Rattus norvegicus: one gene and its partners. The protein of the gene in region 1 purifies or fractionates together with the protein of each later gene. This does not show direct contact. Links are inferred from orthologs where the notes say so. Each region holds a gene or a part of one and is shown in the gene's direction. Other genes may lie near its edges.

Region 1 (5,227 bases):
ACCCCGGTACCTACGTGGCAGAAGGAAAGAACCAATTCCCTCAAACTGTCCTCTGACCTTCACACACAAATGAACAAATACATAAGTAAGTAAATGTAAAAATTATAAAAGAATGTGGGAAACAAAGAAGATTTTGCCATAGTGGTGCACACCAGTAATCCCAGTAGGAGGATCAGAAGTTCAAGGCCATCCACAGCTCTGTCATGAAGGAGGCCAGCCTGAGATACATAAGACTATGCAATGGTAAATGAATACATATTTCTTCTTGGGGAGGCAAAGCCAGGCAGGTCTCTGCCAGTTTGAGGCCAAGCTGATGTGCCGTCCAGAACTGCATAGTGGTACCTTGTTTAAACAAACAAGCAAGCAAAACAAATCTCTCTTTCCTTTTCACTTATCCTAAGAGCTGGGTTTGGACTTTCCCAGAGTCTCTGGTTAAGGTCTTGCCTTGAAGCTCAGCTGTCCTGAAAAGGGAGAAAGGGTAGCCCTTTTTCCCAAAGGGCCAGAATTTACACTGAATGGCCTCTGCTGCTGGTTCCGGTGACTAAGCTAGACCAAGATGAGTCACTGATAACAGGGAAGGTGCCCTTTCCCCTGCTGTCTCTCCCAGGGCTGGCTCAGGCTATGGGTGGAAGTTCTAGAAGGCCTGAGCTATTGACTAGGACAAGGATAACTTTAGTTTTGTTTTGAGACAGGGTCTCACTATATACAAAACGCAGTAGTAGTGGCTAGGCAGAGGTGGTGCATACCTTTGATCCCAGCACTGGGGAGGCAGAGGCAGGTGGATCTTTGAGTTCAAGGTCAGCCTGCTCTATAAAGTGAGTTCCAGGAGAGCAAGAGCTATCAGAGAAACCCTATCCTGAACACCCCACTCCCCAGTATTTTTTCATTAAAAATTTTTTTTGAGATAGATGATGATCATGAAGGAAGTGAAACTAGGAGATTCCTCTGGCTACAAATGAGAGTTTAAAAGGATCTGGCTGGTTGACATGGGAGCTCCCATAGAGAGAACTCCATTGCTTTGCCTGGCTGGACATTTTGTTTTCTTTGCCTTAAGTACCCTTCCCCACTTGCCATTCAACACCGAACCATTCAACCTACACCATCTCATCTGTGGACTCCTTGTTCTTATTTGCTTTCGTTTTATAATATAGGGCCTGAAACACAGTGATCCTCCTGTCTCAGTTTCCTAAGGGTTGGGATTACTGTCATAGTCACTTTACCCGGCCCTTGGATTCCTCTAGGATTACTTAGTTGATTTCCTTGTGTCTCTGTTTCCCATCACAGCAGACATTAATGGTTTCCTGATCCCTCCCACTGGTCTGTGAATTCGGTGACTTAAGGCTCAGTCTAGGTCAGTACTGCACCTGCAAGGCAAATGTGTTATCTATGGCTACTCCTAGATAGCAAGAACTTCGACTGACCTCCGGGGAAACCGAAGGAAACACCGGGAAAGACCAGCTTGTTAGGGAGCTTTGAGGGCATCCTGGGACCACATCATCTTTTTTACTCCAGTCCTTTTACTGGAGCTGCTACCTGTAGGTCCTGGGAGAAAGACCGCCTCTACCAATCTGTCAAACACCAGTTAGTCAAACACCAGTCAGTCTGAAGATTGAGGCTCCGCCCCTTAAACCTAGACTCCGCCTCCCCATCCTCCGCCGTTGGGGTTCTGGACCGGGCGGCGACGCCCATGAGGACGCATGCGCACTGCGGGCCCCAAGGACTCCGTTTCCCTTCTCCCAATGGCGGGCGGCGGTCCCCTTCCCGGCAGCCTCCCTCGGGTAGAGAGCGCGTCATTTCCGGTGGGGAAGGCCCGCGGCTGCCGCCGCCATTTCGGGCGCTGCTGGGAGGCTTACACCGGAGCCGGTCCGCTGGGCGGCGGGCGCCAGGGCTGGAGGGGCGCGCGTGCCGGCGGCGGCCCAGCGTGAAGGCGCGGAGGCGGCCATGGCAGGCAACTTCGACTCGGAGGAGCGGAGTAGCTGGTACTGGGGCCGCTTGAGCCGGCAGGAGGCGGTGGCGCTATTGCAGGGCCAGCGGCACGGGGTTTTCCTGGTGCGGGACTCGAGCACCAGCCCCGGGGACTATGTGCTCAGCGTCTCCGAAAACTCGCGCGTCTCCCACTACATCATCAACAGCAGCGGCCCGCGCCCTCCAGTGCCTCCGTCGCCCGCTCAGCCTCCGCCGGGTGAGGGACAGACGGGCGGGAGGCCCGGGCGGGGGTGAAGGCCCTAGAACCCTGGTCGGCTGCAGGAGGGACGTGGGCAGAGAGGGCTGGAGTGAACCTGGCGGGGGAGCTGCCTTCTGACCAAGCTGGTTCCCACCGATGAGCGGGATTGTGGGGGAGGAGGAGCTGCTCACCGAGGCCTCTGGGTGTGCCTTGGGAGCCGGGGAAGGGGAACTGCTGCGGCCCCGGGGTGGGGCTGGGCGCCAGGGTCAGGCCCAAGGGCAGGGCAGGGCAGGGCCAGGCAACTTGGGGACAAAGAGTTAATGGGGATGTTGCGGGGACATCATTTGGCAGAGATGCCCAGAATGGATCTGCTAATCCTACAAGTGGCTTTTAGGCTTGAAACGTTTCCTGCAGTGTTAGAGCTGGGTTTGGCCATACTCCCCTGGTGGCCTTCGGTAGGAAGTCACCACGTACTTGGCTGGCTGGGAGGGATGGAGACACCCTCAGGAAGCCGGTCAGCTTTTTCCTTTCTTGGGCATTTTTCCAAAATCTTTTTACCGTGCTCTTCCCTTGTGGAAGGTGGTGAACTAAGTGACTTGGTAATAGAAAAAAAGCTTTCTGTGACCAGCCCAGCGTAATTGAAGCCTAGCTGGCAAATTGTGTCCAAGAGGTTTTAAGTGTCCAAAAGACTGCCCGCTGCACGTAGAGTTTCTAGTTTCAAAGTGATTAGTGGAGGAAGGTTTTTTTTTTCCTTTAGGAAATAAACCAAGCATAGGCCAGGGAGAACAACCTTGGAAGTGAATGGAATTTCATTCTTCCTGGGCTTAAACAGTGTCAGTCAACGTACTTCTGGGTCTTTTCTTGCTAAGTTGGTGCTGTGGTCAAAATCTTCCAGGATATGAGAGCAGACCTAGCTGGCAGATACACCAAGAATAATTATCCCGCTGTGTTTTCCTCATCGAGGACCATTGAGTTGTAATTGTCTCAGCTGTATTATTGCAGTTGTCTTGGCAATGTTAAGGAAATTCATGCACTTCGTCCTTGAAGTTTGTGAGATGCACAGTGATTCTGAGATTACTGTTGTCTCTGTGTGTTGGCACCAAGCTTCTTGCTTTCTGGATGTTTGAAGTGCAAGCTTGTTCCTCCTAGAGCTGAGCTAATCTCATGAATGGAGACTCCCTGGTTAGCCGTTTAGTAGACCTCCTTTTAGGATCATCCTAATTTAGACTTACTCCCTTTGGCCACAAATGAGGAGGTAGAGGTGGGATAAACAGTTCTTGGTGTTGGCACACAAGTAAGGGGAAAATTTGAGTACTGAAGTCTTCTTAGTCTTTTTGTGTCTGTTGGTTTAATAATATAAAATCAGATACAACACAATTGCCCTAAACATAGTAAATTCTATTTTTGTGCTATCTGTAAAATAATCTGTTGTTTTGTGTTAAGGGCAGTAGTAAGATGAAATGTTATTGTTGAAATTCAATTCTCAGCCAAGTTTCATAATTCATGCTTTTAATCCCAGCACCTAGGAGGCTGAGGCAAGATTTTACAAGTTCCAGGTCATCTGGGAAACTTAGCAAGATTCTGCCTCAAAATAAAAAGTTATGTTAGGGGGTGTGACTAGGGATATAGTTGAGTGGTAGTTTATTTGCCTGACATTTGGGGAGGCTAGGTTTTATTCCCAATAGCTGGGGGTGAGGGACTCGGTCCTCAGTTTTCTCCTTGTTTGAAAATGTGGGACTAGCATCAGGCAGGCTTGTGGTTTTATATCTCGGTAGCTCCACCTTTTCAAAATAGGTGTTTGGCCTAGGAGAGGAGAAGATTGCCAGTTTGTGGGTTAGGTGTGGAAAGTTCATTGGCTTTGTGGCAATTTGTTCTGTCGTGTTCCCCATTTTCTCTGTAGGACACTCAATTCACTTGCTGTCTTTATGATGGTCACTTAATCGCTGTTCTGCCATCCATTAAACTGTTTTTCTTTTGAAGCCACACAGGAATTACTTGAGTTTTAGAGAGACATATATAATTTTAATAGTTTACACTTATTGACTGACTATTGTATGCTACATGCTTTGCTAAATGTGCCTTATATAATTCACCATCAGTAAAACAATCCAATGAGTGAAATTCTGCAATCTCCATTTATTAAAACATTTTCATTTGGAGGTGGGGAGAAGAACTAGAAATCCAGTAACCTGTAACATTTAGCATATAAACCAGAATTTGAACTAGACAGTGTGACCTGAGAACTGACTATTGTATAATTTTGGTATTCTTTGTTTATTTGCTTTGGAATCCCTGGGGTGCACATAGGGAACTCCATTCTTTTGTTTTGAAACAGGGTTTCACTCTGCAGCCCTAGCTGGTCTGCAACCATATAAACTAGGCTGGCTTTGAACTCAGGAGAATTCTTGCTTCTGCCATCTGAGTGCTCTGAGATCCCGCAGAGTGGCTCAGTAGGCAAAAGCACAGCTTTGCCAGCTTGAGGGTCTTGTTTGATCCTCAATCCCGGGGTTGGATAAGAGAAGGAACACCTCAGAGTTGTCCTGACTTCCACAGACTCACATCAGTCATGCACATACTGTAGTTCTGGCTGGCCTAGAACTGATTACACTTGTGTGCACACACTGTAGAGGCATGTGGGTAAGACAGGCCAGGGATTGTTGCATTATCCCACTTATTTTTTGAGATAGAATCTTTTTGTAGTCCTGACATGGGACTCTCTGTGTAGACCAGGCTAATTTCTTTCTTTTTAAAGATTTATTTATTATGTACAGTGTTTTGCCTACATGACAGAAGAGTGTGCCTAGATCACATTATAGATGGTAGTGAGGCACCATGTGGTTGCTGGGAATTGAACTCAGGACCTTTGGAAGCATAGTCAGTGTGTTCAACCTCTGAGCCATCTCTCCAGCCCCCAAACCAGGCTAATTTCTCCTGCCTTTGTCTCCCTGTTAGGATGAGCCATCGGCCCAGCTCAATGACCCTATTTGAACCTAGCATAGATGTTTAGCTCCCACAGATGATCTAAGCTATGATGATGGCCTAGGAACGTCTTTACTGTGCCCC
Region 2 (4,663 bases), on another chromosome or scaffold:
CAAAAAAATTGTGAGCTGCTCAACCCTGGTGCTGGGATTCAAACTCGGGTCCTCTGGAACAGCAGCAAGAGGTCTTAATCATTGCACCAAGTCTCTAGCCCCTGACATTCATTTCTTTCTTCGTGAATTGCCCTGCCCCTGCCATCCCGTATTAAATTGCCATGTTGTGTAAGTATGTAATCCCACAGTTTCCATTAACATCTGTATTGCTTCTGGCACCACCACATACTCTTAGACTTAGAACAAGCCACTTTGGTATCAGTTGGCATAATCTTTACCAATTTTGTTCTCTACTGAAGTCAATTATATCTGTTGACTACCCAAGTAAGGCCTCTTACAAGTTTGAAGGAAGCATCATAGAAATGATTCTACCCGGGGAGGATTATATGTTGGTCATGAGGTGTCTGGTTGGTCTCATACAAGCTTCTATTCTATGAGCCTGTTGCAAAGATTATATGGTGAACTGGAAGGTTGTCCCTCTTTTTCCCCCTTACAGGTCTTTGGGTGTCCTTAAAGTTATTGCCAGGTGACCTCACACAGGTTCAGAAGAACTTTTCACACCTGGTGGACAGATCAACAGCGATTGCTCGGAAGATGGGCTTTCCAGAAATAATCCTGCCAGGTATGCACTTTGCCCAAGTCTCATTTTGTGCTTCTTTTCCATGGCGGAAGAAAGGATTACCTCAACTCGGACAGTTGAGGCAGTATGGGTCCTTAAGAGGAGGTCTTTCAGGGTTAATGGCATCAAGAAACTGGTGACAGAGTCACAGCACCATCAAGGACTGTTCAGGATGCAGGACCCAAAAAACGCCACTCAGCACCTCAGCATTCTCAGCTCACCCTTTCCCATCCTGCTCTGCAGATGTTTTCCCCAACTTGACTTCCTTCTCGGGGAACAACCCGGTGGCCCAGTTCATAGGAACTAATCCATGACAAAGAGACTTGTGGACAGCTGGTACCACATCACATTTGGAAAGCTCTGGAAAACCAATTTGCCATGTAGCACATTAGAACAGATTTTTCTGAGAGTCAATGGGATCTTTTCTTTCCTTCAGGAAGTCAAGGGGCAGTAGTAGTTTTCCACACGCCCATTACCTGAGAATGAGGGTGTTTTAATGAATACTCAGAATGGATGAATAAACGTTGCTGTAAAGGGGGGCTGCTGTGTCTTCTCAGAAGAGCAGGTTCATCCATCACAAAGCTCTTTTCACTAACTTCAGACACACCAAATTTTGGGGGAAATTATCTTTGGTCCCCATCTGTAGCACAAGACTCCTATAGACTTTAAGCCATCTAGACATCCACTTCATCCATCAAGACTCCTGCCTTCTCTTACACCCCCAATAGATCACCCTCTTCTTTCCTTTTAACCAATTATCTCTTTCTCGGTGTTCAACTGCCTATGAATACACTGCTGGCATTCCTGGGTTGTGTCTCCTCAGGAACCGTGCCCATATCCAGCTAGCTGCATGAACAAGAAACCTGAAAGACACTATTAAAAACCTGCTGGATATCCTAGCAATATCTAATGTATGCTTATTATTAGACATGTATCCTAAATGGGACAAAGAATTGGATCTCTGAGGTGGCTAAGTAGGTTAAAAACTCTTACCATACAACCTGAATGATCTGTAGAACCCACATTAAAAAAAAAAGCCAGGTGTGGTGGCTCATAGCTGCAATCCCAGCAGTCCTACAGCAAGATGAGAGGCAGAGGCAGAAACAGGAGAATCTCTTCAAAGCCTGTGAATGCCGGACAGCAGTAGAAATAGCAAGGGAGACACTGCCTCAATAATAGGTGGAAGGGGAAGACTGACTCCAGAGAAATTATCCTCTGGCCCACAAACTCATGCTGTGGCATATACATGTATGTGTGTGCACACTTATAAAAAAAGGTATTTTTTACAAAAGCATGCACATCAGAGACACCTTGATGTGTAGTGAGAGGTGGACTGAGAGAGCAGTCAAGACTTACGTGGAATCAGCAGGCCATTACCAGCAGACCGTTGTATATTTACATTAGTCCTTGTGTGTTAAATCATGGAACTTTAACTTTGAAGTGAGTTTCTCTCAGCAGCACTCACAGTAGGCTTGTCGTGTTTTAGGGGATGTTCGAAATGATATTTATGTCACCCTGATCCATGGGGAGTTTGATAAGGGGAAGAAGAAGACACCCAAGAATGTGGAGGTGACCATGTCTGTGTTTGATGAGGAAGGCAACCTTTTAGAGGTATGTAGCACTCCCCACAAATCTCATCGCGTCGCACCTGCTCTGTGGTAGCAGCCAAACGCTGGTCCAACTTATTGTCAATTCTCCCCATATGGGGAGGGTCCTTCTTTATCTGGGTTTTTGTTCTTACTTTTATTAGTTTCTGTTTTGTAAGAAAGGGTGTCATTAGGTAGCTGAGGCTGCCTCAAACCTGTGATCCCTCTGCCTCCGGGTGTTGGGATGACAGGCGTGTACCAACATGTTCAATACTTTCTCTTAAGGAAAAAATATATAAAAACTAATAAACCCGTGATTCTCAGTGGCTATTTTTACTCCGGGAGCTACTTAGATATATTTTGATATTTTTCTCTGTGCAGAGAGATATCATGGGCCACTTAAACTTTAGGACCTTTGACATTTTCAAGTGGTATGGCTAATCTCAGCTTGAGCACCATGCAGAGGTGTCCCAAAGGCCTTGACAGGCACACTGCCATCACCTGGGCCAGTGGAGCCCATGGACACCGACTTATCTGAAGGAATACTGTGACACTAAAGGCACCCTTGGTGTAGGATGGCAATGCTGATTTCCAGTGTTAGTCATTGGGAACTTGTACCCAGAGTAGAGTTCTTTCCTCTGGAATTGCAGATGTCAGAGACAGAGTCGAAGAGTTTCTCTGCCTCTGGCAGCTTTCTGGACATCTTGGTTTTGACTTGAGAGAGTTGGGAGGCACCGGGTGGCCACCAGAAGCCTCTGTCACCTCCATCTAATTGCTCTAGATGTACAAGTGAAAGTCTTGGCTCCTGAAGCTCTCTAGATGTCCTGAAGTAATGCTCTCCAAATGTTCGGTCCTTGTTGTCCATAATTCAACCATTATGTTTCTTTAAAAGCAGAAAACTGTACACATTCAGTAAAAACCCTGAAATTCATGGTATGCAGGACTTGGGGCTGAAGGGACCCATGTGGCATTTGTTAACATTAAGTGGCATGACTGCTGGCTAGGAACAGCATACACCTGCTGCCACAGTGTCATCTCGCAGTATAGTGTGGATGGCTGCTGGTAGACTTCTCAAACTCATCATCATCAAAGCCCCTGACTTTGGGTTAATTTTTGGATGATATACATTCAGAGACCTTGTTCTGTTGCCATGTTTTTCATATACTAGATGACCTAGTATCATCTCCTAATTGTGTCTTTCCAATCAAAGAAAGCCATTCATCCTGGAGCTGGGTACGAAGGCGTCTCAGAGTACAAGTCCGTGGTGTATTATCAAGTCAAGCAACCTTGTTGGTACGAGACAGTCAAGGTGAGAATTCTAACTCCTTCAGCTATTGACCCTTGTTTAGATTCCTGTCCGCTTTTTAAACCCCAAGTCAGTCTTCAGATATCTGAAAGTTTCAGATTGTCTGCAGAAAGAAATAAACCGGGGATGGACTGGAATGGGGAATATAATCAAAATGCATCGTGTGAGATTCTCAAAGAACTAATTTTTTTCAAAAGCTGAATCAGCAGTTAGGAGGTCGTTAGAGCATCCATTTTATGAAGCCCAAGATTCTGACAGAGTATTCTTATTCACAAACGTATAGCGACTGGACAAGAAAAACTTGTGGCTATAATAAGGCAGGGGCTGCCAAGATGCTGCAGACAAGCTAAGATGTGCGCACTCCATCATCGGCTTCCCAACATGTTGTTCTTGTTGGCCCCTGTCCAAGTGTTCTGGGCCTCTTCGCTGTAAGGAAGGGTTTCATGAATTGCAGAATGCTTTCAGATCCTGAATCCCCTGTGGGCTCACAGTGGCCTTGAAACTGGACAGTCGGGTATTACTCTGACCTCTTTTTGAAGAGGCAGCAGACCCTAGGAAGAGAAGTGACACCTCAAATCTTGGAGCACCTTGGGGTCAACCTAAAACAGGTCACATCTGAAGTCTGGGCTGCTGTAGCGCCTACTGTCAGCATTGGCAGGGTCCTATGAGTTGTAAGCAGAAAATTCCAGAAACTGAACATTGTCCAAATATCTGTTAGGTAGCGGTTATTTTTCACATCCCTCTGTAGTCTGTGTTTTTTATTGTGCTATTCGTGTGAATTCATATTGTGCTGTTTTTGAAAAACAATTTCTCAATCTGTAAACTCTGGCTGTCCTAGAACTTGCCATAAAGTTCAGCCTTCCTTTGAACTGGCAGAGACTCACCTGCCTCTGCCTCCCAAGCACTGAGACTGAAGGCACAGACCACCGCTCCTGGCTGTGTTGTGGTTTTTAAAGCTACTTGTCTTGGGCATTGTGAGCTCCTCAGAAATACGTTTTCAGTGACTCTAGAGATAACCCTGACTAATAGAGAGACTGGTGCTATTGCCCTGTCTTCCTGTAACTTACTGCACTACCGTCAGAGAATGTCCCCACCCAGGTATCTTCTCTCCTCACACAGATACTAGTAACCACTGTATCTGCAGGTGACTTC
Region 3 (3,448 bases), on another chromosome or scaffold:
AGTATGGGCTGCCTGCCCAGAGCCTTTCTGATGACTTACTGTGTACTATTTGTTCCTAATGAGTCACCTTGCAGTTAATCATCCTCTGCACCCGTACGTCTGCTTATGGGAAGTCTAAGTGTGCCTCCTGCTCTCTTTCAGATCTGCAAGAGCAAAGCGAAGGAGTCGCAGCAGTATTACCATAGCCTGGCTGTCCGGCAGAGTCTGCCTGTACATTTTAACATCCAGCAGGATTGTGGCCATTTCCTTGCTGAAGTCCCTAATCGTCTGCTTCCCTGGGAGGATCCCAATGCTCCTGAAAAGGCAGAGGATGGCAATGAAGACAGTGAGGAAGAGGTGAAGGCAGAAACTTCAGGGGGAAATCCTGAGCCCTGCTCTGAATCAGAGTCATCCCAGAAAGAGAACCAACAAGTCACAAACAGGAAGCAAAGAAGCCATGTCGTGGTCATCACCAGGGAGGTTCCCCATCTCACTGTGGCCGACTTCGTGCGAGACTCTTTGGCACATCATGGGAAAAGCCCCGACTTGTATGAGAGGCAAGTGTGTCTGCTGCTCTTACAGCTGTGCTCTGGTCTTGAGCACCTCAAGCCCTACCACGTCACTCACTGCGATCTTCGCCTGGAGAACTTGCTGCTTGTCCAGCACCAACCTGGGGGAGCCACCCAGTGCCCTTCACCTGCAGACCCCTGCCCCACCTCAGCTTGTCCCACAAGACTCATTGTGAGTAACTTTTCTCAGGCCAAACAGAAGAGCCATCTGATGGACCCTCAGATCCTCCGAGACCAGTCCCGCCTTGCCCCAGAGATCATCACGGCCACCCAGTATAAAAAGTGTGATGAATTCCAGACAGGCATCCTCATCTATGAGATGCTGCACCTGCCCAACCCTTTTGATGAGAACCCAGAGCTGAAGGAGAAGGAGTACACGCGCACAGACCTGCCTCGGATCCCTCTCCGCTCCCCGTACTCTTGGGGCCTGCAGCAACTTGCCAGCTGTCTCCTGAACCCCAACCCTTCTGAGCGCATCCTCATTTCTGACGCCAAAGGCATCCTCCAGTGTCTGCTCTGGGGCCCCCGAGAAGATCTCTTCCAAATCTTCACCACCTCGGCAACCCTAGTACAGAAGAACGCTCTCCTCCAAAACTGGCTGGACATCAAGCGAACACTGCTGATGATCAAGTTTGCCGAGAAGTCCCTGGACAGAGAGGGGGGCATCAGCCTTGAAGATTGGCTTTGTGCTCAGTATCTGGCCTTTGCCACCACAGACTCCCTGAGCTACATTGTAAAAATCCTGCAGTACCGTTAATGTGGCCTGGGCGTTGCTTTTATTGTTAAATATCGCCACCTTTTTCATGTTGTCCTCATTCCCTGTCCTGGTACTCACTCAGAATTCAAGGAAAGAAAAGAAGCCAACTGCCACCCTTGTCCAGGAACATAGGGCTTCTTTCAGCAAGGTCACCAATGGCTTTCCACAGAGTGAGCGGCTGAGTGTCTCTACTGTACAGGAATTCAACTGTGCAAACATGCGTTGCCTTCCCTTGGAACATTTGTCATCCCAATTGGCTCACAAATGTGGGGTAAAAAAATGAAAATGCACGTCCATGAAGGACCAGCTCCTGTGGAATGATCTCAGCAAGCTGCATCCGCCTCTTCCAGAACTCTGAAGCTCACCTGTACTAACTAGCTAGCAGTACACATGTCACCAAGCTCAGCTGTCACCCAGTAATGCTCTTGCAGCAGATTCCTCTTCCTCAGTGACTGCCTCTTTCCTGGGAGGACATGCCATTATCCTTCTCGGCTGAGTTTCAGTCACTGGGGACTAGCGTCTGTTCCGCCATACCATGAAAGGAGGAGAGAGATTCCCAGCCGTTAGATCATGGGTCTGTTTCCATTTTTGTTCTTAGCAAAGGTTGGACACTGCATAGACAACCCCACTGCCACTGCTTGGCTGTCCTTCACCTTCACCCTGTCCCACCTGCTAAAGTTGGAGTTTATTATCCACTTCTTGTGGTCCAGTACAAAGCTGACCAGAGGTGGTATCACCAATGCCTCAGCAGGATGGAGTACAGTCCACAGATTATGAATAGTGGGCAGGATATGAAGAAATAATGTCCTTATGTGCAATTCTCCAGGGGCCCTCAGGGAACAGACTTTCAAGTACTGTTCTTTGATTACTGTCAGACCTATCAGCATGGTAGCCAGGGCTGGTGGTGCCTGAGTCAGAGTTTCTTCCCCCGAAAGCAGTCATTGGCCAGCTTCCTTCCATCAGTAGCTGGTACTAACTAGTCTGCCAAATGCTGTTAGCAACAGCCCTGAATGAAATGGTTGTCAATTTAGCATTACCGTCACCTTAGAAAGCAACTGGTAGCCGGCTATTGGAAGGCAAGGGGAACGGGAAAGGCCACAAAAATGGCTGACCTGATCCTTGGAGTGCCAGCCTCTTCCAGAAAGACTGCCTCCCAGAGTGAGTGGCATGTCGCTCCTAAGACTGCAGTGGGCCTGGAGCTCAGCTCACAGGAAGGCTGATGGCTGCAGTGGATGACTGAGAGTTGTTCCCCATGAAGCCTGTGCTCTCCCGTGAATTATGTGCAATTTTTGTATGTATTTTTAAGCTGTATATTACAGTGTTTATGTTGCAACTTTACCTGAGTGAGAACTGCAGAAACATTCTTGTCTTCCCTTGGCACATACTTGCGCTGAGAGTCAAGTATCCTTTCCACCTGTGTGCGTGTATGAACGCTCATACACTTGTTTTATTCAAAACTGTGAGTCTCTGTTTACTTCAACCTTGAAATCCCAAGAGTCACTTGAATGGTAAGTGTGTAAGCATGTGTTACTATGTGCATGCACATGCTGGAGATAGGCCTCTGGGAAGCAACCTGTAGTGGGGTGGACAGATCAGTTCTGTACACCTTGACAGTGAGGAAACCCAGGAAGCCCTCGCCCACCAGCTCAGAATTGGCTTAAAGCCAAGACTGACTGTGCAGTATTATTTGGGTGGCACCTTAGTGGCCTTGGAAACTTCTAGACTTTTAACATTTTTAACAGCCTTTCATGTGATTCACCTTTATCAAAGAGGATCAAAAAAGGAGAATGTATTTTATTATGCATTTTTAAGGAGAACGATATGTATGAGGCTGCATATGCAGGATGGCTTTGCGATCCTGGCTAGTGCTCCGTACTCCCAGGAAAGAGGCCTAGTTTGCCCACAGAGTCTGTCTCTCCTAGACAGAATGACCGTGGAGTGGGCAGCCATGAGTCATGGCTACACCATGCCCAGCAGGCTAGGGTTTGAGTCATATAGCCCATGTACACATAACTTCCCGCCTAATTATGCACTGAACTGGTGGCAAAAAGACCACTGACCACGTCAGCTGGCCCAGCCCTTCACTTCCCACAGTGCTTGCAGATTGAGACATACCTTCTCCACATTGCTCTCATGGTGCCTT
Region 4 (3,530 bases), on another chromosome or scaffold:
CTGTGGATCTCCCAGATCCACAGAAAACCTGGCATGATGTCACATGCCTGTGAACACAGCACTGCAAGGCTGTGAGAGCCATGATGTGGCAGACCAGTCTCAGGGCCTCACTTGCCAGGCAGCTGAGCCAAAAATGTGGGTTACAGATTCAGTGAGAAAACCCATCCCAAAAAATAAAGTGGACAGTAAGAGGAAGACACTCAACATTGACCTCTGGCCTACACACACACACACACACACACACACACACACACACACACACACAACCACGTTGGCCATTTGGATATAAGTGCACAGAACACTCCTCACGCTCCCTACTGTTATATTAATAGTGGGATTAGAATGCTTAAAGGAATTAAGAAAGCCTGCCAAGTACATTTTTAATGTCTTATAGTTTATAAACTAATGGTAGCAAAGTTGTCTCTCAGAGCGTAAGTATTCGGGCCTGCGTTGTGCTTTCATTCTTGTGCCTTCACCACTGAATGACTCCTCTCTGCATCCCATCACCTTGGTCTTACACAGGATCACTAGATTTTAGAAAGTTCCTGTTCTCACTGTCAGAGCACCCCTGCCCTGTGACATTCTAAATGGTTTTCTATGTAGACATTCTAAACAGCTTTGGATTAGATGTGATGATTCTGATCTTGTTTACATGCTAAGGGCGTCTGGACCCAAGCAAACTGTGAATAGGCTTCAGGAAGCAGCAGATTCTCTCCTTTGTGTTATATAAGAGAGATAGCCCTGCCAAGATCAGAGACTATCCCTAGAAACTATCTAGTCTGGGCACGGTACCCTGGGAACAATATAAAACTAAAGGAAAAAAAAAAAAGACCATTTCAAAGATTTTTTTCAAATTACCTTTCCAACAGAAATCTGAACATTAACCCAATTAAAAATTCCAACTATAGATTAACAATGGTAGTACTATTTTGTTCAAAAAGTGCAAAAAGAAACAAAAATCCCCTCCAAAAAACCATTATTTTAGGCAGCTTTTTCTTTTAAAAAAAGATTGTTAAGAAATTTCTGCATGGTTTTATAGCAGTTTATTTTAATGAATGGAATAGTATTGGGTATTGGTTTATTAAACTGCTTTTGATAGTTCAGCACGTTTCTTTAGTCAGTACCATTTCCATCTAAGTCCTTTCAAGAGTAATAAATGGAAGTTCCATAATTTTTTTCTCTTTTAAATTAACCCTTACAGGATCTGCTTCAGTCTCATCTATAAGTTTATCCAAGGGCACCGAGGAAGTGCCTGTCCCTCCTCCTGTCCCCCCTCGAAGACGACCAGAGTCTGCCCCAGCGGAATCCTCCCCATCCAAGGTAAAGCCAAGCACCGGTTATGTAGATGTGGCTGTGTCAGCTGTTACTGTCAGTTCTCCCTCTTGCTGGAATAGGCTAGTGTCTCAGAGCACTTAGGTTTAACAGTTCAAATATTAAGTATAAATTTATCATGCAAGATGTTTATGTCTTTTCTTATAAAGGCAGTTTGGGCATGCATGCAAACCCCTATAAGTTTTTAAAGCTATGAGCATTACCAAGAGAAAAAAAACCAAGTCTTATCTATCAGGTGGTGAACAGTAACTTGGCTTAGTGTGGTTCTTTATATTTTGCTTGTGAACCTCGTCTTCAACAGCTGAGCCATCTCTTCAGCCTTCGTGCAGTTCTTTTAAAATGACCCGAATGTGTGTGCGCGTGTGGGGGAGGTGTGGGGGAGTTGTAGGGGTGTGTGTGCGCGTGTGGGGGAGGTGGGGGTGTGTGTGCACTTGGGGGGAAGGTGTGGGGGTGTATGTGCGCGTGTGTGAAGGAATATGATAAATGCATCTGTACTGAGTATCTGCTGAAAGTTACTCTCTGATCTGAGCCAGATAGGGAGAGATTTCAATTTTAGGTTAGATTTTAATTTAGATCCTAAAGACATATAGTAATGAGACTTCCTGCCTGTTTAAATTTCCCCCTTTTATTGTTTATTTTGCAAGTTATTCAATAATTCTATTTGGTCTTAAGCAACCTAGAGAACAGAAGCAGCAGGATAAGTCAAGGCCTGTAGATTTCATGAAACATTAATACTTTTAAAACATTTAATTAATTAATACATTTAAAACTTAACAGGGCTATAGTAGTTTGTTTGCCTAATATGGACACTGCCTTCAATCTTTAGCACTGCAAAAAAGAAATGGATAGTTTGTGCTAAACTAGAATTTAGTGCATTGTGTGATAGGCAGTCAGTAGTAACCAACAAACTTTTGGCTAATCTTGACAAAATTAGTTTCTTTTTTCCCCTGCGTGTGGACAGACCATCTTGATTAACATATTTGGTAAAAGTCCACATTCTGTACCGTACATTCTGCCAGTAGCATGTCTGAAAACTCCAAATTAACAAACTCCAAATTAACTTACTATATTTATGGTGCTCTTCAAAAGAAATTAACATGTTCTGTTCTTTTTCGTTTGTTAGATTATGTCTAAGCACTTGGATAGCCCCCCAGCGATTCCTCCTAGGCAGCCCACATCGAAAGCCTATTCACCACGATACTCAATATCAGATCGGACCTCTATATCAGATCCTCCCGAGAGCCCTCCCTTGTTACCACCACGAGAACCTGTGAGGACACCCGATGTTTTCTCAAGCTCGCCATTACATCTCCAACCTCCCCCGTTGGGCAAAAAGAGTGACCATGGCAATGCCTTCTTCCCAAACAGCCCATCCCCCTTTACACCGCCACCTCCTCAAACCCCGTCTCCTCACGGCACGAGAAGGCATCTGCCATCACCACCACTGACACAGGAAGTGGACCTCCATTCCATTGCTGGGCCTCCCGTTCCTCCACGGCAAAGCACTTCTCAACTTATCCCCAAACTCCCTCCAAAAACTTACAAAAGGGAGCACACACACCCATCCATGCACAGAGATGGACCGCCACTGCTGGAGAATGCCCATTCTTCCTGAGTTCCTCTAAACTGGGACCCAGTTCCCAACCCAAATCCATTGCTGGCAATGGATGCACTGAACATGCCAGCACTGAGGAGTTACAAGGAGAACTCCAAACACTAACGACTCTACTTCAACATGTAGTAAGACAATGATTTTAACCTACACGTAACTATGAGGTGAGATGGTATTCCAGCTTAGAGGGTGAGACTGATCTAGAGGAGCTGGACGTCTGACTGCACCTGGACACCACGGGGAGGGGGGGACTTTCCTGGCCAATAGGCAGGAGCCCTCCTCATTGTGAAGGGATGGAAAACGGTCTCGTGTCCAACAGGCCCATATGTTGACAGTCTTTGTAATTCAAAATATTATGCACTTTTAAAAACTCTTAAACAGGGATCTCCTCCTCCTTTGTTTTCCTTTGCTTTACTCTTCTGCTTTAGAATGTTTTCATACAAGTCATTCAGAGGACTGTGAGAAAGGCTGTGGTGCCTGGCCTTGTGGGAACCAAGGCCCAGCACTGTACCGCAGTCCTGTTTACAGATTACTACAGTGAACCGAGTGGGTACCGAGGCTTCACCAAAGAGGTACTTGTTGTTAT
Region 5 (4,663 bases), on another chromosome or scaffold:
AGGCAACTCTTATAAAGGAAAACATTTAACCTGCAACCTAGCTTTCAGGTTCAGAGGTTCTGTTCATTATTGTCAAGGCAGGAACATGGCAGCATCCAGGCAAACGAGGACCTGGAGGAGCCAAAAGTTGTACATCTTGATCCAAAGACAGACAGGAGAAGACTGGCTCCCCTGAGGCTAAGAGGAGGGTCTCAAGGTCCGCCCGCACAGTGACACACTTCCTCCAACAAGGCCACACCTACTAATAGTGCTACTTACTGGGCCAAGCATATTCAAACTTCCACAATTACCGTGTTTAATAACAAATATAAAATTTTATGTACATAAGAAAATATTCTAAAAAGTAGCAACAAAGTAATAACCTTGTACTGTTTTAGAATTCAGGTGTATGTTTTCTGCATGTTTTTAGTTTTGTCATTTTCCCCCCAATTAACTTCTTTGTGCTTGTAATTAAAATAATTTAATTAGCCTAATACAATACATTTTTCATTCTAATAAAATTTTAGGAAATTGTCTTTTAATGAATATGTCACAAACCAAGTAAGGGCAGATCTTAGTACTAAATTTATGCACAGTTCTTGACATTAATACCTAAAATATTAATGATGCTGTGCCAAAGGTGAAACTTAAAAATGCTAGTTGTGTCAAAAAGAACTCAACCGATTTTCTGCTCTTTTTCCCTTGCCAGCTGATTTTGGTGTGGCTGCAAAGATCACAGCTACCATTGCAAAGAGGAAGTCCTTCATCGGCACCCCTTACTGGTGAGGCCATATTGCCATAGTCCTTTGTCATTTCTTCATGCTTTGCACTGAACCCTAATTCTTGCTTTTTAACTGTTTATTGCTTCTCTGTGAGTTTCACATCATGCACCTCAGTATCACTCATGTCCCCGTCCCCTCATACCTGCCCTTAACCCATGCAACCTCCCTCCCTAAAACAAAAAAATCCACAAACAGGCACAGAAGACAACTCATTGTGGAAGCTATAGTGTGTCACAGTGTGTCCCACAGTACATTCCTCCATCCACACATCTTCACTTGCAGATCTGAACCTTAATTCTTGATAATACAAATGACCACCAATGGCCAAGAGACCTGAGTGCTACTGGATACTTTCCTGGGCTTGATTGTGCTATGGGACTTTGATTCTTCATAGCATCCAGCACGATGAAGGTCTATGTAGAAAAATGGAGTTCTCAAAAGAAAGACTTCTTGTATCTCTTCCAATCTTCGGTTTTAATCAAGGACTATACTTCCCGTTGTTAAAACCTACACATCTGATGCTGGTGTCCCGCAGCCCCACATGTGTGGTGTGGCCTGGTGACTACCACAGTAATTTCTCTAAAACACTGCCAATCTTCTGTTGAGGTATAATAGAAGACCTCACATTAAACATTGAGTGTGAGCCTAACATGTGCCTGTAATCTCAGAATTCGGGAGGCTGACACAAGAGGACTGCTGTGAATTTGAGGGTAACCTGGGCTGTGAGACCCTGACTCAAAAGAAAAAAAAAGGCAACAGAATCGCTTAATATTTAAAATAGTGCAGTGAACACCATAGCAGACAACATTCAAAGTTTGCGTTAAATGTTGGGTTTGTTTGTATATGGTGTTTGGCTAATTTATTATTTTGAAAGTAATTTAAAGTAATTCTATACCTTATAAATAATGCCAAAATAAATTGTGTAAGGGGATTGGAGAGGTGGTTCAGTGATTAGTAGCACTGGATGCTCTTCCAGAGGATAGAGTTAAATATGAAAGTAAAATAGAGCTGGGCATGGTGCCGCACAGTCTGTGAGTGTTAGGCCAGCCTGGACACAGCCAGTCAGCATTACATAGTCTCAATGTGCCCATATGTCCCCTGGGTAGTGTCACCTACACCTCATGTGATCACCGTGTGTTTTGAGGTTTTTGGATTTTGTTTTGTGCGGGGAGGGGGGTATGGGTGGTGATTATTGAGACATGATATTCTTTGTAGCTCTGGTTGCCCTGGAACTCGAGATAACTCCTGCTTCAGCCTCCCAAGGGCTATAGTTACAGGGGATTGCTACCACACCTCTGCCTGCCTGGTTTCACTCCTCTCACTGTGTTTCACGGTGCCGTGAGTTTTTGATTAAGCTGCCTCCATAATTATGTCTTTCAGTGGGTCCACCCCATTTTCACAAGGAATTCTGAATTCACTTGTATAAAAGTTAGGTGGTTCTTATCTGGACCCTACCTTGGCAGTTTGTTTTCAATGTAGTTTCCAGACTCCCTGAGCCCTGAGTTGTGAAGATGTTTTTTTAATTTCAGACCAGATTTACACTTTTGTAAAATGAATTACTAAAATTTAGTAATGTGTTTACACAAGAGAGGGCTCCTCTGTTTCTGTACTCGTCCCAAACAGTAACAGGCTGTGTGTGGCTCTTCCCAGGTCTGCGTCACAGGTGAGTCCCACTGTGCCCTCCACTCTCCACAGCCCCCTGCATTTGCTGGGGTTTCCTCTGATGTGTGCAGGCACACCTTACCCTCAGCTTCCTGCTGGCTTTTTCTCGAGGTTTCCCCTCCTCTGGGATCATTGGCCTGCAGGTGTTAGCATTCCTTAACACAGACTGGAGTAGAGCAACAGTGTTCTTGGAGCGCAGGATTCAGAAGAGGAAGGGAGGATTTTTAAATAGGGAATTTTCCTTAATTTTTAATTTTTTATGGTTTTTGGTGTGTGCGTGTGTGTATTTTGCCTGCATGTACATGAGTATACCACATGTGTGCCCATGGAGGTCAGAAGAAAGCCTCAGATCCCCTGGAGCTGGGGTGCTGGCGAATCCCTATGCAACCAGTGCACCTAGCCACTGAGCCATCTCTAGCCACCAGAAATGAAATAGGGGAATGGGGCAGGGTGGTAAGGCTTCGTTCCTTCTTCCATCTATGAACATAACAAAGAGTATCGTGTTTTACATCATTTAAGAAAATAACAAGTGCTGTGCTCACTGATCCGTCTAGGATGGCTCCAGAGGTGGCAGCGGTGGAAAAGAATGGCGGCTACAACCAGCTCTGTGATATCTGGGCAGTCGGGATAACAGCCATCGAGCTTGGAGAACTTCAGCCGCCTATGTTTGACCTTCATCCAATGAGGTGTTCTCATTATTTACAGCACGTTGGGGATGAACTGCTGATTCCTCGGGGTTCCGAGCTCGTTTTCACGTGTATCGCACTAGTAAAGTACTGTAAGGGCTCAGAACTAATGTCGTGTAACCTGCTCGGGTCTGGGGAGCTGCCTCACTGTGGAGGCTGCTTTCTACACAACTATAGACCTATGCTCGGAACCCTAGCACCCTTATAAAAGCTGGGGTGTCGGGGACAGGCAGATCCCCAGAGTTTTACTGGGCAGCCTTTCTAGACAAAACAAAGCTCCGGGGTTCTGTGAGAGACCCTGTCTCCCAAAATAAGATGAAGAAGAGTAAAGGAAGACAGCCCTCTGCACACATGGGCAGGGCGAGCACGCTCTCATTCATTGCACACAGGTGAAAGGTAAACACTGCACACATGGGCAGGGGCGAACACTCACACATATACACTGCACATACATTCATGGGCAAGTTCTCCTTCCTCTCTCAAAGGTGAATTCATAGAGCACTCTTGTAGGTTAGCTTGTAAACAGTAAGATAGTATAAGAATTTATTGTCCAAATAATATCAGGAAATGGATATAATTTGCCAGAGTAATTATAAATGCTAGGCTTTGCTTAAACCTAAAACTTAATTTTAAAGTAATGTGTCAGTGCTGTGTAATAAGCAAATACACAATTACATAAATATGCCTGCACTGTACTATGAGCTGTACAGGTAACTGTGGTAAGGAAGTGTACATTTTACGGCCTTATTTTGTGAATAAGGCCCTGTTTGACATTAAAGATCTTTTTTAAAGCTAGCAGAAGTATTCTAGAACCTTCCCAAAACATGAAAAAAGCCAAGGACTGCAGCAGAAGTGCTTGTCTGGCTTGTGCAAAGTCCAGGGTTTGACCGGCGGGGTCGTCAAAAAACAAAACATAAATATCAAAAAATTCCATGTCCGGGCTGGAGAGATGGGTCAGCAGTTAAGAGCACTGACTACTGTTTCAGAGGTCCTGAGTTCAATTCCCAGCAACTACATGGGATCCTGTGCCCTCTTCTGGTGTGTCTGAAGACAGCTACAGAGTACTCATACAAATAAAAATGAATAAATCTTTTAAAAAAAAATTCTATGTCCAAAGCAATGTCTTCAGTGCCTTTCCATGAGGAAGTCTTACACAAATTTACAACAGAATGTTCAGTCTGACTATTAATTGCAATGATAAAGTGTCTAGTATTGCCTCTAACTGAAGTTTCTATTTCAGGGCTCTCTTCTTAATGTCAAAAAGTAATTTCCAGCCTCCAAAGCTAAAGGACAAAACTAAATGGTGAGTTACAGGTTACACAGTGCTGTAGAATTGTCTTAGTTCCTTATGCTCTCAGTGACCACTTCGGGGGCGCACAGGCGATGAGCGACATACCCTGTGTGCATGGCTGTCCCTCATTGAGCACGTGGCAAGGGACCAGGTTTATTTTCTAGTCATCCCTGCTGTTCACCATCAGCCACTCTCCACTGTACTGCTGTCTGGGGTGAAAGAAATGTGCTGAGGGGAGGGCTGGAAAGGAATATCTGAAGCGT
Region 6 (3,823 bases), on another chromosome or scaffold:
TAGGAGTGTCTTCATGACCTTTCCATCTTGAAGAGAGGAAGGGCCTTGCCCAGGAAGTAGCAAATTGTTGATTTGACAGAAAGGTCACTGTGTCTGGTTTTCCCTTGACGCCTCTCAACATTTAAAAAACATTTACATAGCCTATAATTCACCAAACACTGTTTCAAACACTGTGTGACTAATAGTAATATTCGCTTTGTGAATAATAGTATTTGTCATAATGGTATAGAAGCCAATGCCTTCCAGTTGGAATGCAAAAAAAAGACAAATGGTGTTATAACAAAAGATCTATGTTGGACGATCCTCTAGAGATCCTCTTCTCAGAGTCTACATTGTACAATTTAGGAAGCAAGGCAATCTGGGCAAGGTCTCACAGCTACTAAGTACCTAGCACCTACTAAAGATGAAGCTGGTTTCTTGTGATCTCACACCCACATTTCTTTCCCTTTACAATGTATGCCTTGCCCTTAATGAGATCTGTTCTCTTCCTTCTAGCTGAGTCAGTTCCAGCTGTTAGAACAAGAAATCACCAAGCCCGTGGAGAATGACATTTCCAAATGGAAACCCTCTCAGAGCCTCCCAACCACAAACAACAGTGTGGGTGCTCAGGATAGGCAATTGCTTTGCTTCTACTATGACCAATGCGAGACCCATTTCATCTCCCTCCTCAATGCCATTGACGCCCTCTTCAGCTGCGTCAGCTCAGCCCAGCCCCCGCGGATCTTTGTGGCGCACAGCAAGTTTGTCATTCTCAGTGCACACAAACTGGTGTTCATTGGAGACACTCTGACAAGGCAGGTGGCCGCCCAGGACATTCGCAACAAAGTCAGGAACTCCAGCAACCAGCTCTGCGAACAGCTCAAGACGATTGTGATGGCGACCAAGATGGCCGCCCTCCACTACCCGAGCACTACGGCTTTACAGGAAATGGTGCACCAAGTAACAGACCTGTCCAGAAATGCTCAACTGTTCAAGCGTTCCTTGCTGGAGATGGCCACCTTCTGAGAAGACACGGAAGTAGAAAGGACTGGTTGAATAATTACTAAGGAAAACTGGAAATACTATCTAGTTTTTGTAAATGTTATCTATTTTTGTAGATATTTTATATGAAATTGAAATGTTTTAATGTTTTGTGAGTTAGTCGATTTTCATCAATTCAGGGAGCTGAAGTGGGAATTCATTTTGTTTCCCCTGTGTGGTTCTTATATAAACATATAAGTATCTAAGACATAAGTTGTACAGAAATGTGTCCACATTTGTGTATGCCTACGTATCCGTATTTGTTTATAGATGTGTGTCTGATACAGTCCATTAAAACCATGAATTGAGAAGCACCTTAGTAAGCACCTAATGCTGCATTGTTTGGGTTTTGTAGAAAAATTATACTACTTAGTTGTAATATTACTCTACGTGTAGTAGTAGTAGTCTGAGCCCAGCACACCCAACTTTCTTGTCTGAAATCTCTTTTAAACTTGACTTGTCTTTAACACAGTGGTAAATCTGACCAACTTCTAGTTGAAAGGGGGTGAGGAGAGAGAGAGAGAGAGAGAGAGAGAGAGAGAGAGAGAGAGAGAGAGAGAGAGAGATTAAAAAAAAAAACATTAACCTAAGATCCAGTGTTTCAGGTGCTAGAGAAAGGCAAGACATGTGTGCTGTACTAAGAGGCCATGTCTACAGTGGTTATTGAGTTATTTCAGTTCTGAGAGAAACTATAATAAAGAGAGAACATTTGTTTCCCTGGGGCTACATTTGTGAGTGATTCAGTCATGAGGTTTTCTAATGGATGTTTTTAGAGTTGAATTTAAAAAAAAAAAATTGCAACAAGAATTCATGAAGATACATCAGAACTGTGATTGTGGGCAAAAAGAAGGGATGTTTCCAACAGCCAGTAGTTAAATAAAGACCTCTCTACCCTCATTATCTAATGAAAATGGCCAGTTTCTTAGTCACTGAACTATGGAGCCACCAGGCGCTGTCCTCTCTCATTGCTTGATGGAGCAATGTTCTACACCATTCTAAAACCTTACATAAGCAGACCAACACTCAAAAAAGCTGCAGAGATCTGACCTTCACAACCCATTGTGGCCATGGACCTTGTGGATAAGTCACATTACCTGTAAGCTACTCACAGCATTGATCCTGTGGTCTTTCCCTTCACACCTGCTGTGTAGATACAGCTCAGAACAGATTCATCATCGGCAGATAAAGCACTTCCCTCTTCCATTATGACCAACTCAAGAAATATGTTTCTTGTAGCCTCTGTTCTATTTCATTCCAGCCTATTCAGAAACGTGTTTTTATTTGTTATGGATATGTCTTGACTGAGTTAATGTTATTTGTTTTAAGCAACCAAATGACAAAAACAAGGAGGGACTTAAGAAGAACATGTGATCTCAGTTGTTTTTTTTTTGTTTTGTTTTGTTTTGTTTTTTTTTAAGTAAGTGGAAGATAGCAAAGGAAGGGTGCTTTTCAAAACAAACTATAGCTGTAATTCTCAAAGTTCTGCACTGCCAGAAGATAAACAGCTGGACTATTGGACAGCAATTCACTGTGTCTGGCATGTGGAGGAAGAGGGTCCTGCAGCATTAGTGCCATTGCAAAAAGTCAAGGTATCCTTGTAGATCTTACTACACAACGTGTGTCTGTTGAGTGATGGCTACCTTGTCCTAACCTGAGTAATGACATTCCACATTGTAAAAAAACAAACTATTCAATTCGTAATGATGATTGACATTTTGTATATTCAAGTCATTAAATGTTTAAATCTTTCTCTTTGTAGCTACTGGGTTTCTTTTCCTTGTATCTGTCTTACGGAAGAATTAAATATTGCCCCATCTGAGTATAGAAAGTCAAATTATGATTTTTTTAACATATGCTATAGATCTGACTGTTTTAAGGAAAAGTGTGTGTATGTTACCCCAGTACCTTTGTATTAAAGAAAATTCTAGAGCATAAGGATAGCATCAAATTAAATATATCCGAGGGATTGGGGATTTAGCTCAGTGGTAGAGCGTTTGCCTAGCAAGTGCAAGGCCCTGGGTTCGGTCCCCAGCTCCGGGAAAAAAAAAAATATATCCGAAACTTTTTTTTTCAGTATCAAATGCCCACAGACAGGAGTTAACTGCCTAGTCATAGCTGGCCTGGAACTCTATGTAAACCAGGCTGCCTTTGAGGTCACAGAGATCGGCCTGTATCTGCCTCTAGGGGGTTGTACTAAAGGTGTGACCCACTACGTCTGGCTACAGCACCCTCACATTTAATGTGGGCATGATAATTTCTGTTTCTACTCTGTGGATATGACTACTCAAGTAGAGTAGACTTTCTTCACTCATTCTGGAATAGGCATAAAGAAATGATTCAAAGCAAGTTATAGTAGAAGAAAGATTCCCTAACCACGAGAATTACTACTTTTAGCGTCCCTCCCTTTTACTCAGATAACCCTCTGAGATGTAGAAAGCACTTAAATACATCCGGACATTAATTACTCTTCTTGTGATTGCCACCATATGTCTTACAGAAGCAAGGGAGGGGAGATTTCTTTTGAGTTGCACTTTAGAGGGGACAGTCTGTCTATCCTGGAAGGTCTGGATATTGGCTTTGTTCCTGGCAGTGGGAACTTGCAACATGGCTTGTGAGCGTCTTGTTAAATCAAGAAGCAGATAGAGGGTTCAGCCAGACTGCAAATGGGGCTAATACTCTTGAGACCCACATCCACCCTAGGATCTGTGTCTACAGAGTATCCACAACCTACCAAAATAATGCCGATAGCTGAGAATCCAGTGTTCAAATAAGTGCACCCGTGGGTGAAATTTCAAAATCAAAT
Region 7 (4,268 bases), on another chromosome or scaffold:
CCCAGCACTCAAGAGGCAGGATAGCCAGGGCCATGCAGAGTAATCCTTCTTGAAAAACCAAAAGAGGGAGGGAGAAAATACTGGCTAAAGAAGTGGTGCACAAGGATTGTGAAATATGTAAAAAGGACAGAGTTAGTGGGTCAGGAGGTAAACTCTAGCTAACTGGCCTCCTGGATCTGCCCTCCCCAGGACACAGCTGAGTACGTTGCCTATGTTGCCAAAGACCCTGTGAATCAGAGAGGTGAGGCGTGGGGGACAGCACTGGGTGGGACCAATTCTCTGAGAAGCAAGTGATCAGTTATACTCGATAGGGCTATCCTGCTGGGAAGGGCTGGGGTGGGGCTCCTGCCCTCATGTTCTGCTAGCACCCTGCCTCAGTTCACTGGCGTCTCCACTGTGCCCAGCCTGCCATATCCTGGAGTGTCCTGAAGGACTTGCTCAGGACGTCATCAGCACCATCGGGCAGGCCTTTGAGTTGCGCTTCAAACAGTATCTCAGGAATCCACCCAAGCTGGTCACCCCCCATGACAGGTGAGCTGTGGAAGAGGATGAGGCAGCTCTTGAGCCTCAGACTGGGGTTGAGAAGTGGATTTCTTCTCCTGCTTGAGCTACAAGGGGTTCAGAAAAGATGTGACCTATATGACCCTGTTCCTGCTGTGTTAGCTCTCCATTGGCTCATCGGGAAAGACTTGAAGGCCTGCTGCAGGGACACTTTCTATCTTTTGTTTGCCTGAGGTGGAGTTCTAGTCCAGCACCTCTCAGCAGACTGCTTTTTTTTACTGGATAAACATTTAATTTTTATTTATTTATTTATTTTTTTGGTTCTTTTTTTTCGGAGCTGGGGACTGAACCCAGGGCCTTGTGCTTCCTAGGCAAGCGCTCTACCACTGAGCTAAATCCCCAGCCCCCCAACATTTAATTTTTAAGTTCCTCATTTTTGGCCTAGCCCTGTGTTCTTGTACACTTTCACTTTTCTTAAAGATTTATTTTTATTTTATGCATATGTGTAATTTATTGCATATACAAGTGTATGCATTGCCTATGGAAGCCAAAAAAGGGCATTGGATCCCTTAGAAGTGGAATTACAGGTGTTTGTGAGCTGCCATGTGAGTGCTGGGAGCCAAACCTGGGTCCTCTGCAACGTCAGCAGTTTTCTTAACCCCAGAGCACCGTACTCCCCCGTTCATTGTTCTGTGTTTTCCTGCCTCTGACACTCAAATGAGTCTGGATCGTAATCAGGCCTTTAATCCTAGCACTCAGGAAGCAGAGACAGTGGATCTCTGAGTTTGAAGCCAGCCTGGTCTACACAGGGAGTTTCAGGACAGCCAGAGCTACACAGAGAAACACTGTCTCAAAAAACAAACAAAAACAAAAAAAAAAAAGAAAAAAAAAACTAAAAAGAAGGTAAGGAAAAAAGAAAGGGAGTAGGGAGGAAGAAAGAATGAAAGAGAAAGGAAGAAAAAAGAATCTGGTTTAAGAGACTATCTTTTTCTTTTTTTTGTATGTACGTGTGTGTGTGTGCGTGTGTGCGAGTGTGCATGTCTGTGTGGGGCATATGTTGTATGTGTATGTGTAGAGGTCTGAAGTTGATGTCAGGTGTCTTCCTCTGGTGTTTCACACTTTATTGAGGCAGGATCTCTTTCTGATCTGGAGCTCGCTAGATCTAGCTAGCAGCAACCAGATTGGTCTGGATCCTGTCTGCCTCAAGAGTGTTGGGGTTATAGGTGGCCACCATTGGAAAAGTGGTCTGGCTTGCACATGGAACCTGGGGATCTGAATTCTGACCCTCAGACTTTATCAACTGAGCTATGCCCCAGCCCCAGCACCTCTGACCTGAGATCCCCAGGCTGCTTTCTTAAAGTCACAAGAGATAAACAATGTGGCCACCAGGGGCTTTGTATGTGAAATCATTCTGGATGTTCCCTTTGTTTGATAATGCTCCCATCCCTCTCTGTTTGATGGAGCTCCCATCCCTCTCTGTTTGATGGAGCTCCCATCCCTCTCTGTTTGATGGAGCTCCCATCCCTCTTTGGAGGTAGCATAGCTGTCAAAAGTGAGAGTTTTCAATTCAAAACCAAATTAAATCTCAAATCTATCTCCTTTCAGTTGAGAGACCTTGTATGTATCTCTCCAACCCCAATCTTTATTGCAATTTCTTAAATTGTGGAAGGAATACCAGTCTTACAGCACCAAGCCTTAGAGCTGACCACAGTATATGCTGGTATGTGGTCACTGGTTTCCTCCCTCCCTGGGTCTCCTAGCTCCGTATTTACACCTACCTCTTCTCTCGCTCCTTCTTTTTTCAGGATGGCTGGCTTTGATGGCTCAGCTTGGGATGAGGAGGAAGAAGAGCCCCCTGACCATCAGTACTACAATGACTTCCCAGGGAAGGAACCCCCTCTTGGTGGAGTGGTAGATATGAGGCTTCGGGAAGGGGCTGCTCGACCCACTCTGCCCAGTACCCAGATGCCCAGCCACTTGGGAGCTACACTGGTAAGGGGCCAGGGTGGAGATACTTAAGGCCAGGGTGGGAATGGCTGGCTAGGGCCTTGCTCTCACCCAGTTTTCTTTTTTTTTACAGCCAATAGGGCAGCATGTTACAGGAGACCATGAAGTCCGTAAACAGATGCTGCCTCCACCACCGTGCCCAGGTGTGAACACTGCTGATAGAACAGAGAGGAGTACAGAAGGCAGGGCTGGGATTGATGCTGTCTTTTTTTATCCTTAACAGGCAGAGAACTCTTCGATGATCCTTCCTATGTCAACATCCAGAATCTAGACAAGGCCCGGCAAGCTGGTGGTGGGGCTGGACCCCCAAATCCTTCTGTTAATGGCAGTGCACCCCGAGACCTCTTTGACATGAGTGAGTGAGTCTCTTGTAGCCCCACCTTCTGTTGTTTCTTCTTTTCTGCCTGTTGTCTCCTGTCTGGCTTCCCCACTGAGCCTGGGTCTTGGGTGTATACTGGGCAAGCTCGCTCTCCTAGCCATCTCTACACCCCTAGAGCCCTTCGAAGATGCACTCCGGGTGCCGCCAGCTCCCCAGTCCATGTCCATGGCTGAGCAGCTCCAAGGGGAGTCCTGGTTTCATGGGAAACTCAGCCGGCGGGAGGCTGAGGCGCTGCTGCAGCTCAACGGTGACTTCTTGGTGCGAGAGAGTACAACCACACCTGGCCAGTACGTGCTCACTGGTCTGCAGAGTGGGCAGCCCAAGCACTTGCTTCTGGTGGACCCTGAAGGTGTGGTAAGTGTGACAGGTATGGGAGGGGGTGGTAAGGAAAGGTACCTTGCCCTCTCCTTATTGCTTTCTAGGCTTTCTTCAATAGAGACTTTCTGGGGGCCTCCTTTGCTCTGCTAGCTACTTGCATCAGCCTGCAGTGGCTCAAAGTTCCTTCCCTGCTGTCCTTGAGTCTGAGCTGTATTTTTTTCAGTTCTGACCAGACCTCAAATCCCAGTGAAGGGGTTGGGGATTTAGCTCAGTGGTAGAGCGCTTGCCTAGCAAGCTCAAGGCCCTGGGTTCGGTCCTCAGCTCCGGGAAAAAAAAAAAATCCCAGTGAAACCTACCTGACCTACAGAGTGTTTACTTGATCTGAACCCTCTTTACTAAGTGAGGAAATGACACTGGAAAGGTAGTGATGCCCCGTGTCAGATGGTTAGGGGGTAGAGACTCCAAATTTCCTCTCGTAAGAGGAGTCCGGAATCTCTGGATGGAGCCCCTTAGCCTCACACTCAGTGTTCTTTTTAACAAATCTAACCTGTTGTACTACTTCATACAACCTTGGTTTCTTCTTCTTCTTCTTCTTCTTCTTCTTCTTCTTCTTCTTCTTCTTCTTCTTCTTCTTCTTCTTCTTCTTCTTCTTCTTCTTTCTCCTCCTCCTCCTCCTCCTCCTCCTCACCCTCTTCCTCCTCTTCCTCCTCTTCTTCTTTTTCTTAGGCGAGGAGTAGTGGTGGGTTCAAGACAGGGTGCTCTATGTAACCCTGGAACTCACTCTGTAGACCAGGCTGACCTCGAATTCAAGAGCTCCCCTAGCTCTGCCTCCCGAGTGCTGCGATTAAAGGCTGTGCCACCACTGCCCAGCTTTTCTTTTCTCAGCATTCTTTCCACATTGTTTCAGCATTGTGTATTCACTTTTGAGACTCCAGCTTCCTTCAAGTCAGGATTTTCACCGTCGGCTTCTGTGACTTCTGGTCACCCTTCCCACCTGTGTGACTGTCTTCTCTGTAAAGAAACCTAGATAATCATGGCTGACCTGGCCCATCTTCCTCAGTCT

The links.
Region 2: the proteins of Crk (region 1) and Dock5 purify together in Homo sapiens (affinity purification with mass spectrometry; 3 studies listed by BioGRID and IntAct, with this or other methods). This does not show direct contact. The link is inferred for Rattus norvegicus from reciprocal best matches to the Homo sapiens genes CRK and DOCK5.
Region 3: the proteins of Crk (region 1) and Peak1 purify together in Homo sapiens (affinity purification with mass spectrometry; 4 studies listed by BioGRID and IntAct, with this or other methods). This does not show direct contact. The link is inferred for Rattus norvegicus from reciprocal best matches to the Homo sapiens genes CRK and PEAK1.
Region 4: the proteins of Crk (region 1) and Sos1 purify together in Homo sapiens (affinity purification with mass spectrometry; 6 studies listed by BioGRID and IntAct, with this or other methods). This does not show direct contact. The link is inferred for Rattus norvegicus from reciprocal best matches to the Homo sapiens genes CRK and SOS1.
Region 5: the proteins of Crk (region 1) and Map4k5 purify together in Homo sapiens (affinity purification with mass spectrometry; 4 studies listed by BioGRID and IntAct, with this or other methods). This does not show direct contact. The link is inferred for Rattus norvegicus from reciprocal best matches to the Homo sapiens genes CRK and MAP4K5.
Region 6: the proteins of Crk (region 1) and Nedd9 purify together in Homo sapiens (affinity purification with western blotting; 3 studies listed by BioGRID). This does not show direct contact. The link is inferred for Rattus norvegicus from reciprocal best matches to the Homo sapiens genes CRK and NEDD9.
Region 7: the proteins of Crk (region 1) and Shc1 purify together in Homo sapiens (affinity purification with western blotting; 3 studies listed by BioGRID and IntAct, with this or other methods). This does not show direct contact. The link is inferred for Rattus norvegicus from reciprocal best matches to the Homo sapiens genes CRK and SHC1.

The regions. Positions count from the first base shown.
Region 1 is NC_086028.1:61,027,015-61,032,241, forward strand, and holds the start of Crk (adapter molecule crk), read left to right. Parts: upstream 1-1,902; 5' UTR 1,903-1,941; coding exon 1,942-2,182; intron 2,183-5,227. UniProt on the Homo sapiens protein: Involved in cell branching and adhesion mediated by BCAR1-CRK-RAPGEF1 signaling and activation of RAP1.
Region 2 is NC_086033.1:46,222,145-46,226,807, reverse strand, and holds part of Dock5 (dedicator of cytokinesis protein 5), read left to right. Parts: intron 1-496; coding exon 497-622; intron 623-2,105; coding exon 2,106-2,230; intron 2,231-3,415; coding exon 3,416-3,514; intron 3,515-4,663. UniProt on the Homo sapiens protein: Guanine nucleotide exchange factor (GEF) for Rho and Rac. GEF proteins activate small GTPases by exchanging bound GDP for free GTP. Along with DOCK1, mediates CRK/CRKL regulation of epithelial and endothelial cell spreading and migration on type IV collagen.
Region 3 is NC_086026.1:65,504,238-65,507,685, reverse strand, and holds the end of Peak1 (inactive tyrosine-protein kinase PEAK1), read left to right. Parts: intron 1-141; coding exon 142-1,305; 3' UTR 1,306-2,643; downstream 2,644-3,448. UniProt on the Homo sapiens protein: Probable catalytically inactive kinase. Scaffolding protein that regulates the cytoskeleton to control cell spreading and migration by modulating focal adhesion dynamics. Acts as a scaffold for mediating EGFR signaling.
Region 4 is NC_086024.1:20,358,359-20,361,888, forward strand, and holds part of Sos1 (son of sevenless homolog 1), read left to right. Parts: intron 1-1,201; coding exon 1,202-1,320; intron 1,321-2,455; coding exon 2,456-2,947; 3' UTR 2,948-3,530.
Region 5 is NC_086024.1:94,063,664-94,068,326, reverse strand, and holds part of Map4k5 (mitogen-activated protein kinase kinase kinase kinase 5), read left to right. Parts: intron 1-688; coding exon 689-761; intron 762-2,977; coding exon 2,978-3,109; intron 3,110-4,349; coding exon 4,350-4,412; intron 4,413-4,663. UniProt on the Homo sapiens protein: May play a role in the response to environmental stress. Appears to act upstream of the JUN N-terminal pathway.
Region 6 is NC_086035.1:23,671,011-23,674,833, forward strand, and holds the end of Nedd9 (enhancer of filamentation 1), read left to right. Parts: intron 1-495; coding exon 496-1,005; 3' UTR 1,006-2,770; downstream 2,771-3,823. UniProt on the Homo sapiens protein: Scaffolding protein which plays a central coordinating role for tyrosine-kinase-based signaling related to cell adhesion. As a focal adhesion protein, plays a role in embryonic fibroblast migration.
Region 7 is NC_086020.1:177,141,204-177,145,471, forward strand, and holds part of Shc1 (SHC-transforming protein 1), read left to right. Parts: intron 1-189; coding exon 190-241; intron 242-404; coding exon 405-531; intron 532-2,306; coding exon 2,307-2,493; intron 2,494-2,581; coding exon 2,582-2,651; intron 2,652-2,731; coding exon 2,732-2,863; intron 2,864-3,002; coding exon 3,003-3,241; intron 3,242-4,268. UniProt on the Homo sapiens protein: Signaling adapter that couples activated growth factor receptors to signaling pathways. Participates in a signaling cascade initiated by activated KIT and KITLG/SCF.